3 linked regions of the Oryzias latipes genome follow. The protein of the gene in region 2 interacts with the protein of the main gene of each other region in a pairwise test. Links are inferred from orthologs where the notes say so. Each region holds a gene or a part of one and is shown on either strand. Other genes may lie near its edges.

Region 1 (2,930 bases), on a different chromosome or scaffold from region 2:
AGCCCTCATCACTATGTTCTCAGTCATCCAGCACCATCTGCTGTCCGAAAATACTTTTCCCCCCAAAGCAATCAAATAGCAATAACATAGGTAAAGTAAACAAATGTTTACAAAAAAATGGCAACATTTATTTTTTTAAGTGCTCTTGTTTAGTTTAACCTGCTTACCAAATCTTTTGAGGGGTGGATATTTTTCAATTGTCAATTCTGCAAAATACTATTGTTAAAAAAATGTTTCATGCATAAAAACCCAAGTAATGCAATAAAGTTGTACTTTATTGCATTACTTGTGGTTGATTCACATTTTCTAGGGCTGGCATCACAAATAGACAGACATGGATTATCTATCTTAAGACCTATTTTCCTTTTTGGTGTCTAATTATATGTTACTGATGTATATGTTCCTATTACCACAGCTAGTTTTCTGCACCTCAGTGTCCAAATATCTTATGATACACACTTCTTCACCTAAATTAATTGGCACACTTTCACTTGATTACAATGGAATGCTATAAAATATTTTTTTTATATTTTATCATATTATAAAATAGACACTTACCCTAAAAAGTAAAAAGTCTTGAACAAACTTGTTTATTTAGTTTAATAATTAAATTGACCTTATTTTCTAACATTTTACTGTCAACCCCTCCTATCTAAAATTATGTTACTTTGGTTAAGCATAAGTGCTAGACTTCCAGAATTCCTGTTTCAGAATCATTGCATCGTATTTAATACATTTATTTGACCATCTTTATGCTGAATTATCATTTCTGGACTCTACACTTGTGACTGCAAGTAAAAAGAAAAACCTCTTGACGTTGACGCATGCGCATGATCACTTGATCATAACAGAATGTTCTGGTTCGTAAGCGGAAGTACCGTCTTTAGCGGCCACAAGGGGTCGCAACTCTCAACCACAGCAGAAGACCACAGCAGACACAGCGACTGGGGCGTCGAGAAGGGAGCCAGCGGCCCTTTGGCTGAGCGTATCTGGATTTAAGGCAAAAGAGGTGTCGTTAGTGGAAAAAAAATGACCAGTAGGTAGCGATATGTATATCTGCTTTAACATGCTGTATATATTCCCGACTGCGTGTGGTCTTTATTTGTAGCTCCTAAACAAAGCCAGTCTAGCTTCTGTGTCAGTAAATAGACGGAACCATCTAACGTTTTCGACAATGTTTGTGAAATAACAGTAGCACAATAACGATATCTACCACCTTTTGGTTCCCAGTTTATTGTCTCAGATTCCGGTACGTGTCGACTTGATGTGTTACGTAATCGGGTTTCATGTCGATATTAGTTTTCCGGGTGTTAGACGAAGCCGTGGCCTATAGCTAACGCATACTTCGGATTTTAAAAACGTCAGTAATCGCTCGTCATTTTTATTTTAAAAACAACAACAACAAAAGCTTAACAATACATTTTAGTATGTTGTATTATTTTTTATATATATGGTTTAGCTCGATGGTTGTAGTGGAAGATGATTTGCCACGTCGACTCCTACTACTACTGGCGTTTCATCTTGTCTCTATTGCTGCCTTTAGCGTTGGCTCCGTGTAAAACGCGTTAAAACACCAGAAAACACACACCCCTTTGGCTACTCTTATTTTTAGTCTGGAGAAGATTTTTTGTTTGTTTTTTTAGGCGTGTGAGGGGTGTGTCTCTATTAATGTGTTATTGTTTACCTTTGTTCTGCTTGTCTGGTGTCCCTGTGGTGCAGGAGGTAACCAACGTGAGCTTGCACGCCAGAAGCACGCAAAAAAACAAGGAGAAATGACGAAAGGGAAGAGGAACGATGATGGACTGTCTGCTGCTGCTCGGAAACAGAGGTAAACTCTTTATTTCATTGCATTCTTGCATAAGTTGTTATTTTGGCACAGGGGGTATCATTATGAATCCAATCAAGGCTGCAAAAAGTGAAATGTTTCTTTTGTCTGAAAAATGTTTTGTCTTGATTTCATCTCTTCTTCTTCAGGGATGCAGAAATAATGCAACAGAAGCAAAAAAAGGCCAATGAAGGGGGGAAGGAAGGTCCCAAGTCCAAGTGAAATATGAAGAGAAATATTCCTCTTGCTGTTTTGGGAACTTCAAAAGTTCAGCGTTCTTCCTGATAGTTAAGAGAATGGACCCGTCATTTTCATCCAGACTCAAGAATCCTGGATCCTACATTCTTCCCAATGGCAAATGACATTTGCTTGTTGGATTTGTTATTTTATATAATTAAAAGTAAGTCTCAGAGAGTTGGTGCTTATCCTACATTGGTGCTGCATGCAAATGGGCAGAAGAGGTTTAAAGAAAGACAAAGCTGAACAATTCTTGACTCGAAACATCCACTTGACAGTTGTGTATTTTTGTACAAAAGTGTCCCCTGATGGTCTCCAATAAAGTATGTGTTTTTAGTTGATGTTTTTGTGAGTTATTTTGCATAAAATCACATCTATAGTATTTTCCGCTACAGATGTGAATATAATCCAACACCATACTTAAGTCCCTTTTACAATGCCACATTGAAATGGAGGTGTTTATTTTTTTTCTTTAGTCTAAACTGCTAAAAAAGGAAAATGGGTTACATGCGTTGAAGTACATTATTTTTTTAAACAGGTAGCTGATATTGACCAAATAATTAAAATGTTCATTTTTATACAATTTTGTTTTATAAGTTACATTTTTTCATTTTGTCTATGTAATTATTCCAACCACCACTAGATGGAGACAGCCCCCTAAAATAGTTTGTGTTGTGCAATTCTCGTTTTTCTTTCAGAACTTTGTTTTTTACAATGTGGAAACGTGTTTTTTTTTCTGCAGTTTTACAAATTTGGTGCAATACTATGGGAAGACTCTTGTACAGCTTTACATCTCAAGCTACAATAACTTTTGCAAACAACTTCAGCAATTTATCCAACCGTCATTTCTGCCTATAGTTCAATTCAA
Region 2 (3,758 bases):
CTTTGCGCCGTTTTACTATAATGTGTTGCATGTTTGTGCAAAGCCCAAAAGAAAAGCTGTTTTTCTCCATGTCAGATTTAGCTGATTCCCATTGGTTTGGTAAACGATCATAGAGTTAGGCCAAATCCAGATTCTTCCCCTACCCCTACATTTAGTCCCCCAGACGGAGAGTTATAGAAACATAATGCCTTCAAATTCGGACGTTACTCCCATTCAATAACATCATGAACAGTCGCTGGTCAGCTACGTTAGCACGGAGCAGCTGGTGCTCGGAAATACCTAACAACATGTAAAACGTCAGGCTAAAGGAAAAAGTCATTACTTAGGGCTCGACATCCCTCCGCAGCCATGGGTTAGCCATTAAAAAACTATTTCGGACAACCCTATCCCTCCAAAAGCCCCTACAATTGGAAGGGTAGGGAGAAGCCGTAGGGGTAGGGGAAGAATTGGGATTCGCCCTTATCAAAGGGCGTGTGTTGTTCAGCTGTTGCCAGCGAAATCTCCGATGTTAAAGGGTTGAAAGACCCATCCGCTCATCTTTTGAGCTCTTTTTAAAGCGTTTCCAGTGGTCTTTTAATTATGATTGTACCGTTTTCCAAAACCAAAAAACCTGTGTTGGTTTCTTGGTCATAGTTTCTGCAAAGCGGCAGTAGTTCATTAGAAATTCCCCTCTGACATGTGGGCGGGACTGCTGGCATGGAGCAACCCCGCTCCCCCTTACCCTCCCCGTTGTTGAGAGCTCTCTGTTTACACTCTCTCCCACTACCTTACAAGCCCCTCACACCCCCAACCTGACATTAGCAGTGCAAGAAAAATGGCAAGCAGTGTTACAGCTATACAACCATACCAAGACGTACATGGATTTAGTCGTCTACAAGGGATGCGTCAGAACGGAGCCGCCCACCCAGCGTATTTCTGACATCACAAATACGATCTTCATCTCCTGATTCACAACGATTTGAATTTTTAAAATTCTCAAAAATGTATAGCATAATACTGATTATCTGAAAATAATAATCGAACAAGATAACCAGGACGACAAGCTTTACACGGTTGACACAATTATTCTAAAATTGAAAATTTCTTTATTGATAATGTAGAAATATTTCATACATTTCTTTGGAGCAACAACAACAAAAAAAAGAAACTCAACCTATTGTCCCTGATAAAATAAATAAGCCAGCACATTGAAAGACTATCTCAGGAATGTTGCCGGGACTAAAATAACACGCAGCTGGTCCTAAAGTTGACTGATACTGATTTTCCACTGAAGCTCTCCCTCCACGAGGCTACTTGATAAATCTTGATCGGGCTGCGGCGCATCCCACTCCTTACCCCACCCTAAACCCCTCCCTCGCGCGCGCGGAGATGGGGAGAGAAGTTTGCCTGCGGCTCGGTCCAGCGAGCATTGACTGTTGAGGAGACAGGGGCTTCTGGTTTCCAGGGAATGCTGAGGAATACCCGCCCGCAGGCTCACCTCACCCCGCTTTGAGTGGTAAAGACACGAGGCAGGCAGGAAGAAGGAAGGAACGGGGGGTGGCATTTAGTGGGATTCATGTGGCAAAACTAAAAGTGAAGGAAGCTCGGGTCAGTGGGACAGCGGGCGCGCGCGCGGACTGCCTGTCCTGTCGAATCCAACGAAGGAGCCGAGGAGGAGAGACCGAGACCAGAAGACGACCGTCCCGAGCGAGAGCGACACGAGTGCGGCTCAGGATGAACAACAACAAAACCGAGAAGGAGAACGAGACGACTGAATTCACCAACCACGAAGAGGAGGTACGCGGTTCCACCTTAAATCAGACGCCAGAACTACTTGTTAGGCGGTGTAGCCGCTTTAGCCTTCCCGGCCACCCGCGTTCTACCTGTTAAGGTGAACCCGAGTCAATTAGAGTCGAGTTTATCCTACTAAAAGTTGTCACATCCAGATGTTTGACCTTAACATCCTTATGGTTTCATTAAAGTTAGATGTCAGTCATTCCCTTATATTTTCTTTTTTTTTTTTAACCTTTTTTTTATTTTTTTTTTATTTCTCTTTTGTTATTGGGCTGAAACATAACGTTTTTCAATCAATAAATGTACGTTTATACCCATTTTCCCTCTATAAAGTGGATTTTTTTTTTCATGAAAAACAGCTTTTTTTTTAGTTATAATGTAAAATTTTATAAACGAAAGTTTCGTCCTGGTTCAGTTTTAACTGCAATTTGGGTGAAAACAGGTTTTTGTGACCAAAGAAAATTGGTTTATGGGTGAAAATGTTAAAAAAAATGCATTTCATTTTGAGATCGGCCCCTTCTTTAATGCAATAATTGCTTTACTCATTAAAACATGACTGTTTCTTAATTTGAAGGCAGGTTGTGGGCTACAGTTTACTGAAAAGCCATGCAGTCAGGGAGACTTAGTTCTCACTGAAGATGAGCAAGGCATTGAAGTTCAAACAACTAATGCTGCAACATGTAGGCAATGACTCTATGTAATCCTACCTCACAGTCAAACAACAGGAGCCTCGTCCCGCATCTGGATCTAAACACAACACACTAACGTGTATTTGTCAGAAGATAAACGCTCGGTTTCTTGACCTTGGTTCGAGTCCATCCGCGTCTTTTTGGTTCGGTTTTGGAACCGATTTGCACGAGCTCTTTGTTGTTTCAGAACCCGCCTCTGCACCCGAGGGAAGGGAGGAAGGTAGATCAGATTATTTCTCTTGGAGTAATTTGATTAAAACTCAGCAGAATGTTACTCACTGACTGATAATAACCCAACACACTCGAACTGATGTAAGACTGTGTTTTGTTGGTTACTGTGGAGTCTGTGTACCCCCATAGAGTTAACGAAACCCTGAAAAAAATGCATTTTTATGTGGTAGAGCTCAGGTTTTTTTTCTTCTTTCTGGACAAATAGTAATAAAGATTACTTTTTATCAATGGGACAAAGATACGCTTGTGTGTTTTTAGGTAATAAACTACTTAATGAATCAATACCTGGCTTTTGTCAATAAGATAACCTCCCAATACCTAAAAACAAGAGGTGTCCTGAGCTTCTGTTGGAAAATATTGAGTCATCTGTCCCAAAGTGTTCCAAGTTTGTTTTTTCTCTTACTTATGTAGCTTTTCTCAGGTTAGATTTCACCTTTTGAACCTATTCATTAGTGTTTTTGTGACAGAGGTCTCTGTACCCTCAAGAGTTCCCGAAACCCTTTAAAAAAAAGTGTATTTTTATTTAGAAGAGCTCTGGGTTGTTCTTTTTTTTTTACTGGACAAATAGTAATAAAGATCACTTTTTATCAATGGGGCAAAAAAGGTTTGTGTGTTTTTGGTTAACAAACGACTTAAGCAATCGATAGTTAGTTTTGGCCCATCCGATAACCTCTGGATTGCTAAAACAAAGGGGGTCTAGAGCTTCTGTTGGAATAGAGAAAACTGTACTTGAATGATTTATCCTAAAGGGGCCCAGGTTTCATGTTTTCCCTCTTTCAAATGGAGGTTTTCTCAGGTTAGATTTCCTCTTTTGAACCTATGCTAAATCGGCAGTGTTTTTGTGACGTTGGACATCAAAGAGACCCAACAGTCCTGACGCGAGTAGAAAAATGATTCTCTCGACCTGCGTCCGGCTGGAAAAGTAGTACTCAAGCGGACTCACCGGACGTGAGTTGTCTCGAGTTGCTTTTTTTTTTTTTTCGTAAGAGAGACGGGGAGAGTAATGGCCAGAGGAATCTAATGTGGAAGCATTTTGGACGCCATCCAGACGAGCGAGGACTTAAA
Region 3 (3,758 bases), on a different chromosome or scaffold from region 2:
AGAACAGGAAACTGAGGCTGCAATTAACACAGACTCACCAAAACTGGACAATAGAAGATTGGAAAAACCTTGTCTGGTCTGATGAATCTCCATCTCTGCTTCAACATTTGGATGGTAGGGTCAGAATTTGGCATCAAAAACATGAAATCATGGAGCCATCCAGTCTTATATCAAGAGTTTAGGCTGGTGCTGGTGGTGCACTGGTGTGGGGGCACACTTTGGGTCCCTTAGTACCAATTGAGGATCTTTTCAACTTCACAGTGTACCTGTGTATTGTCGCTGACCATGTCCGTCCCTTTATGACCACAGTTTCTACTTTTGGTACTTCCAGTAGGATAATGCACCATGTCATAAAGCTGGAATCATCTCAGACTGGTTTCTTGAACATGACTATGAGTTCACTGGACTCAAATGACCTCCACAGTCACCAGATCTCAACCCAATAGATCACCTTTGGGAGGTGGTGGCACGGGAGATTGGCATCATGGATGTGCAGCCAACAAACCCGAGGCAACTGCGTGATGTTATCATGTTAATACGGACAAAACTCTCTGAGGAATGTTTCCAGCACCTTGTTGAATACATACCACCAAGGATTAAGCCAGTTCTGAAGAAAATGTGATTGTTTGAAATCAACAAATTACAATTCGTGAGCAACCTGGTTTATGACCACATGGCGGCGCTGTCTTGCTGTGTAGAAAACGTACATGAAGACAGAAAGATAGACTACGTCCAGATTTTCTTTGTACAGAAAAAAAAACAATGCAAACAATATTATAATATAATTTGCCAAAAGCAGTTGCATGTATGTTGCCGCTTCATATAGTATGTATTACTAATTATTTACAATAATAAAGTATTAACCTAAGATTTTTTCCCCCCATAATGTTGTCTTTATTATTAAAACAAAACAAAAAATGTGACTTCGCAAATTCCCATTCTCCTCGTGGTTTGGAGCGCATTGATCCGCTGATCGGACCCCCTCCGCCGTTCATAATCGGTGCCTCGTCCCCCCCGCCGTTCTGCTTGCATCCCAGCATCCCTCCCTCCTTCCCTCTCGGCGGTGCATCCCCATCCCCCACACGTCGGCCGTCTCTCCGGTTGAAAGCTGTTTCCAAGCGTCACTGGCCGAGCAGAAAGAACCAGTCCTCACCGACCGAGCGCACCGCAGCACGCCGAGAAGTCTTTGTTTTCGAGTGGTTTCGGTGAGTCCCGTTTTGCTGGCTGTCGTGGAGGGCAGAAATGTCCATAGGTCGACTTTTTATATCTGCGTTCTTTGACTTCTTCCCCCTCCCTTTCCCTTCAATTGTCCTCCGTGGTGACTAGTGGGAATCTAGCGGGCTAAGCTAAAAATGCTAACGATAATAGCGGACACTAAATGGACACACTAAATGCACCGGATGTGCGTTAATGCTTATAGGTTTCGAATCTAAATATTTAAACATGTTTACATTATTTAAGCCATGTTATTGTTGTTAGTTTTTTTCCTGCAATTGTCCGGTAATTTATCGGCTAGCCTGCTATTAGCGACGTGAGCAGCGTGCACCGATGGATGCGGGGATGCAGCGGCCGGTTAGCGGCTGTCTTTTTCGGGCTAGCTTGAAAGCTAACGTTTCGATAAGAGTTCAACCGTTTCCAGCGCTTTTGTTTCCCAATGATTCGACCTCACGCGTGTTGATTGATCGTCTCGTGTTAACTGGCAGCTTCTGGAGGTTGTTGCACAAAAAATCTGGGGATTTTCAAAATGGTGTCTTTGGCTTGTATTGACTGTGTGACCATTTTTGTCCAACCTTTGCTGTTTTGGCGTTGCTCGCTATCTGTGGTGAGCAGCGCAGCCCCGACCGATGCGTGCCGCGGGCTGATAGAAGAAATACATCCGAACCACCAAGGTTCTGAGAAATGTACAGGAGGCTGCAGGATAATAATATATCAAGATAAAAAGAATGTTTTGTTGTCAAACAATTTTAAAATCATTATTTATTTTCCTAAAACCTGTTATGCTTTAAAATATACATTTCCATCCTACAGAAAACAATAGAGTAAATGCATAATCAACATGGGTTTACCTTTATAAATTTGTTACAACTTTTATTTAGTAGGAAAGTCCCAGTTAGATTTGTGTTGGGCACCAGTTTGTTTGATTCATTTGATTTTGAGTATCTCCCTAAAATGAGTCCCAATCTGATATGTTTGTAACGCATCAAATAAATGAACATTTTAATAAACTAATCGAGGTTCTCCTCTATTTTTATTTTATTAACTTTCTTTTACATTTTGACACCGATCATTTGTTTATTGGTTCAAAAACGTTCTTAGAAGTCCCTTAATTACAATCATGCCATTTTTAGCCAAAGTAAAAAAAACTTTAGGCTGTGTCCGAATTCCCTCCCTAATCCCTAACTACTAAAAACTATATAGTAAACTATGTAGTGCCCTTTTAAAAGTAATTCAGACACCACGCTCAATACTTTTTTTGCTAACAGCGAATATGACAACCGATTTCACAAAGTGAAAATCTAATTGATAGGAGTGTTCTACAACAACTGTTTATGAATCCACTGTGTTCTGATGATGAAAATGTTGAATTTTTATTTGAAAACAGATTTAAATACATTTTATCTTGCAAAAATTGTTCAGACGCAATGCATAATGGTCTATATTTGCCAATCTAGTAAGCATTGATGCACACTGCATCAATGACTTCTGGGAAATTTCTAGGCCACTCGATTTTGGATTTGTAGATTTGGACAGCCTCACAAAATGGTGAACGCACTATAAAGTGCACTATATATTTATAATTAGTCCTTGTAAGAATGTTTGGTTACTGTATCTTTAGTGTCTTTAGAACTATTGATCGTTTTTTTTAAACATATATGATTTGATTTGTTCCATTAAAAATTTCCAAAAATTAAAAACAATGACTTTCCTCCAAAATTGTTGTTTCAGCATGAATATGATGAGTATTCATGACTAGTTCATATCAATGTAACCATTTATTTGTTTTGATTCTTTTTAATCACTTTTCCTGGAGCTTTCACTTTGTAGACGGTCCCTTGGCAGCGGTTTCTTTGCTAGAGTAGATATTAAAGAGGGAAAAAAATTGATTGAAATGCCTTTGTAGGTCATTGCTTGGCTTAAGACAAACTGATAGAGACACCTTTTGTTAGTTTAAAGCGCTTAAGAGAGTTATTCAGCCCGTAAGCCTGAATCTGTGAATATATTGCTAACTTTACCAAAATGTTTTTGTTCTTCACTCCTATTCAAACTAGAGTCGTGATCCGTTCATGATATACAGACTTCTACTAGGGCATTTTTTGAAATAATAAGCTTGGGATGTATAGTGTGTTAATTGGGCCCAATTTTTTGATCATGTGACCTGATCAGGACATCCCTAGTTTTTATCACTTCGGTTCGTGTTTTGACACATCCGTCTTAAACTTGAAATAGTATTTTGTAACTCCTCCTATAAAATAAGCATATTTCCTAATTGAAACATGTGCTATCCCGGCTCAAAATCATGTATATTTGTTTTAAACATGTAAAGCAAAGGTATAGATTTAGAATTTAGCCTGTTGTGGTCTTCATCTGTCCTGTCATCTAAGCTGGTGTGTGGCATTGTTGAGTTTTAGCTGGCTGTATAATGGAGCTATTAAACTGTCAAACCTTTAAAAGCTAGAATCACTTAGTGTTACATCAGGAGCTCACAAATAGACCTTTGTGTTGTCAACACTTTTTTTTCCTGTGATTGGAGCTGCTTA

Evidence for each region.
Region 1: the proteins of RNA-binding protein with multiple splicing (region 2) and serf2 interact in a two-hybrid assay, tested with the Homo sapiens proteins (2 studies listed by BioGRID and IntAct). The two-hybrid records come from large-scale screens. The link is inferred for Oryzias latipes from reciprocal best matches to the Homo sapiens genes RBPMS and SERF2.
Region 3: the proteins of RNA-binding protein with multiple splicing (region 2) and fam168a interact in binary tests that used the Homo sapiens proteins (3 or more experiments, as listed by UniProt). The two-hybrid records come from large-scale screens. The link is inferred for Oryzias latipes from reciprocal best matches to the Homo sapiens genes RBPMS and FAM168A.

The regions. Positions count from the first base shown.
Region 1 is NC_019861.2:26,947,681-26,950,610, reverse strand, and holds serf2 (small EDRK-rich factor 2), read left to right. Parts: upstream 1-897; 5' UTR 898-1,029; coding exon 1,030-1,036; intron 1,037-1,719; coding exon 1,720-1,828; intron 1,829-1,974; coding exon 1,975-2,047; 3' UTR 2,048-2,403; downstream 2,404-2,930. UniProt on the Homo sapiens protein: Positive regulator of amyloid protein aggregation and proteotoxicity. Induces conformational changes in amyloid proteins, such as HTT, driving them into compact formations preceding the formation of aggregates.
Region 2 is NC_019876.2:8,063,163-8,066,920, forward strand, and holds the start of RNA-binding protein with multiple splicing, read left to right. Parts: upstream 1-1,354; 5' UTR 1,355-1,713; coding exon 1,714-1,776; intron 1,777-3,758.
Region 3 is NC_019871.2:20,751,036-20,754,793, reverse strand, and holds the start of fam168a (protein FAM168A), read left to right. Parts: upstream 1-1,079; 5' UTR 1,080-1,205; intron 1,206-1,790; exon of another isoform or gene 1,791-2,585; intron 2,586-3,758.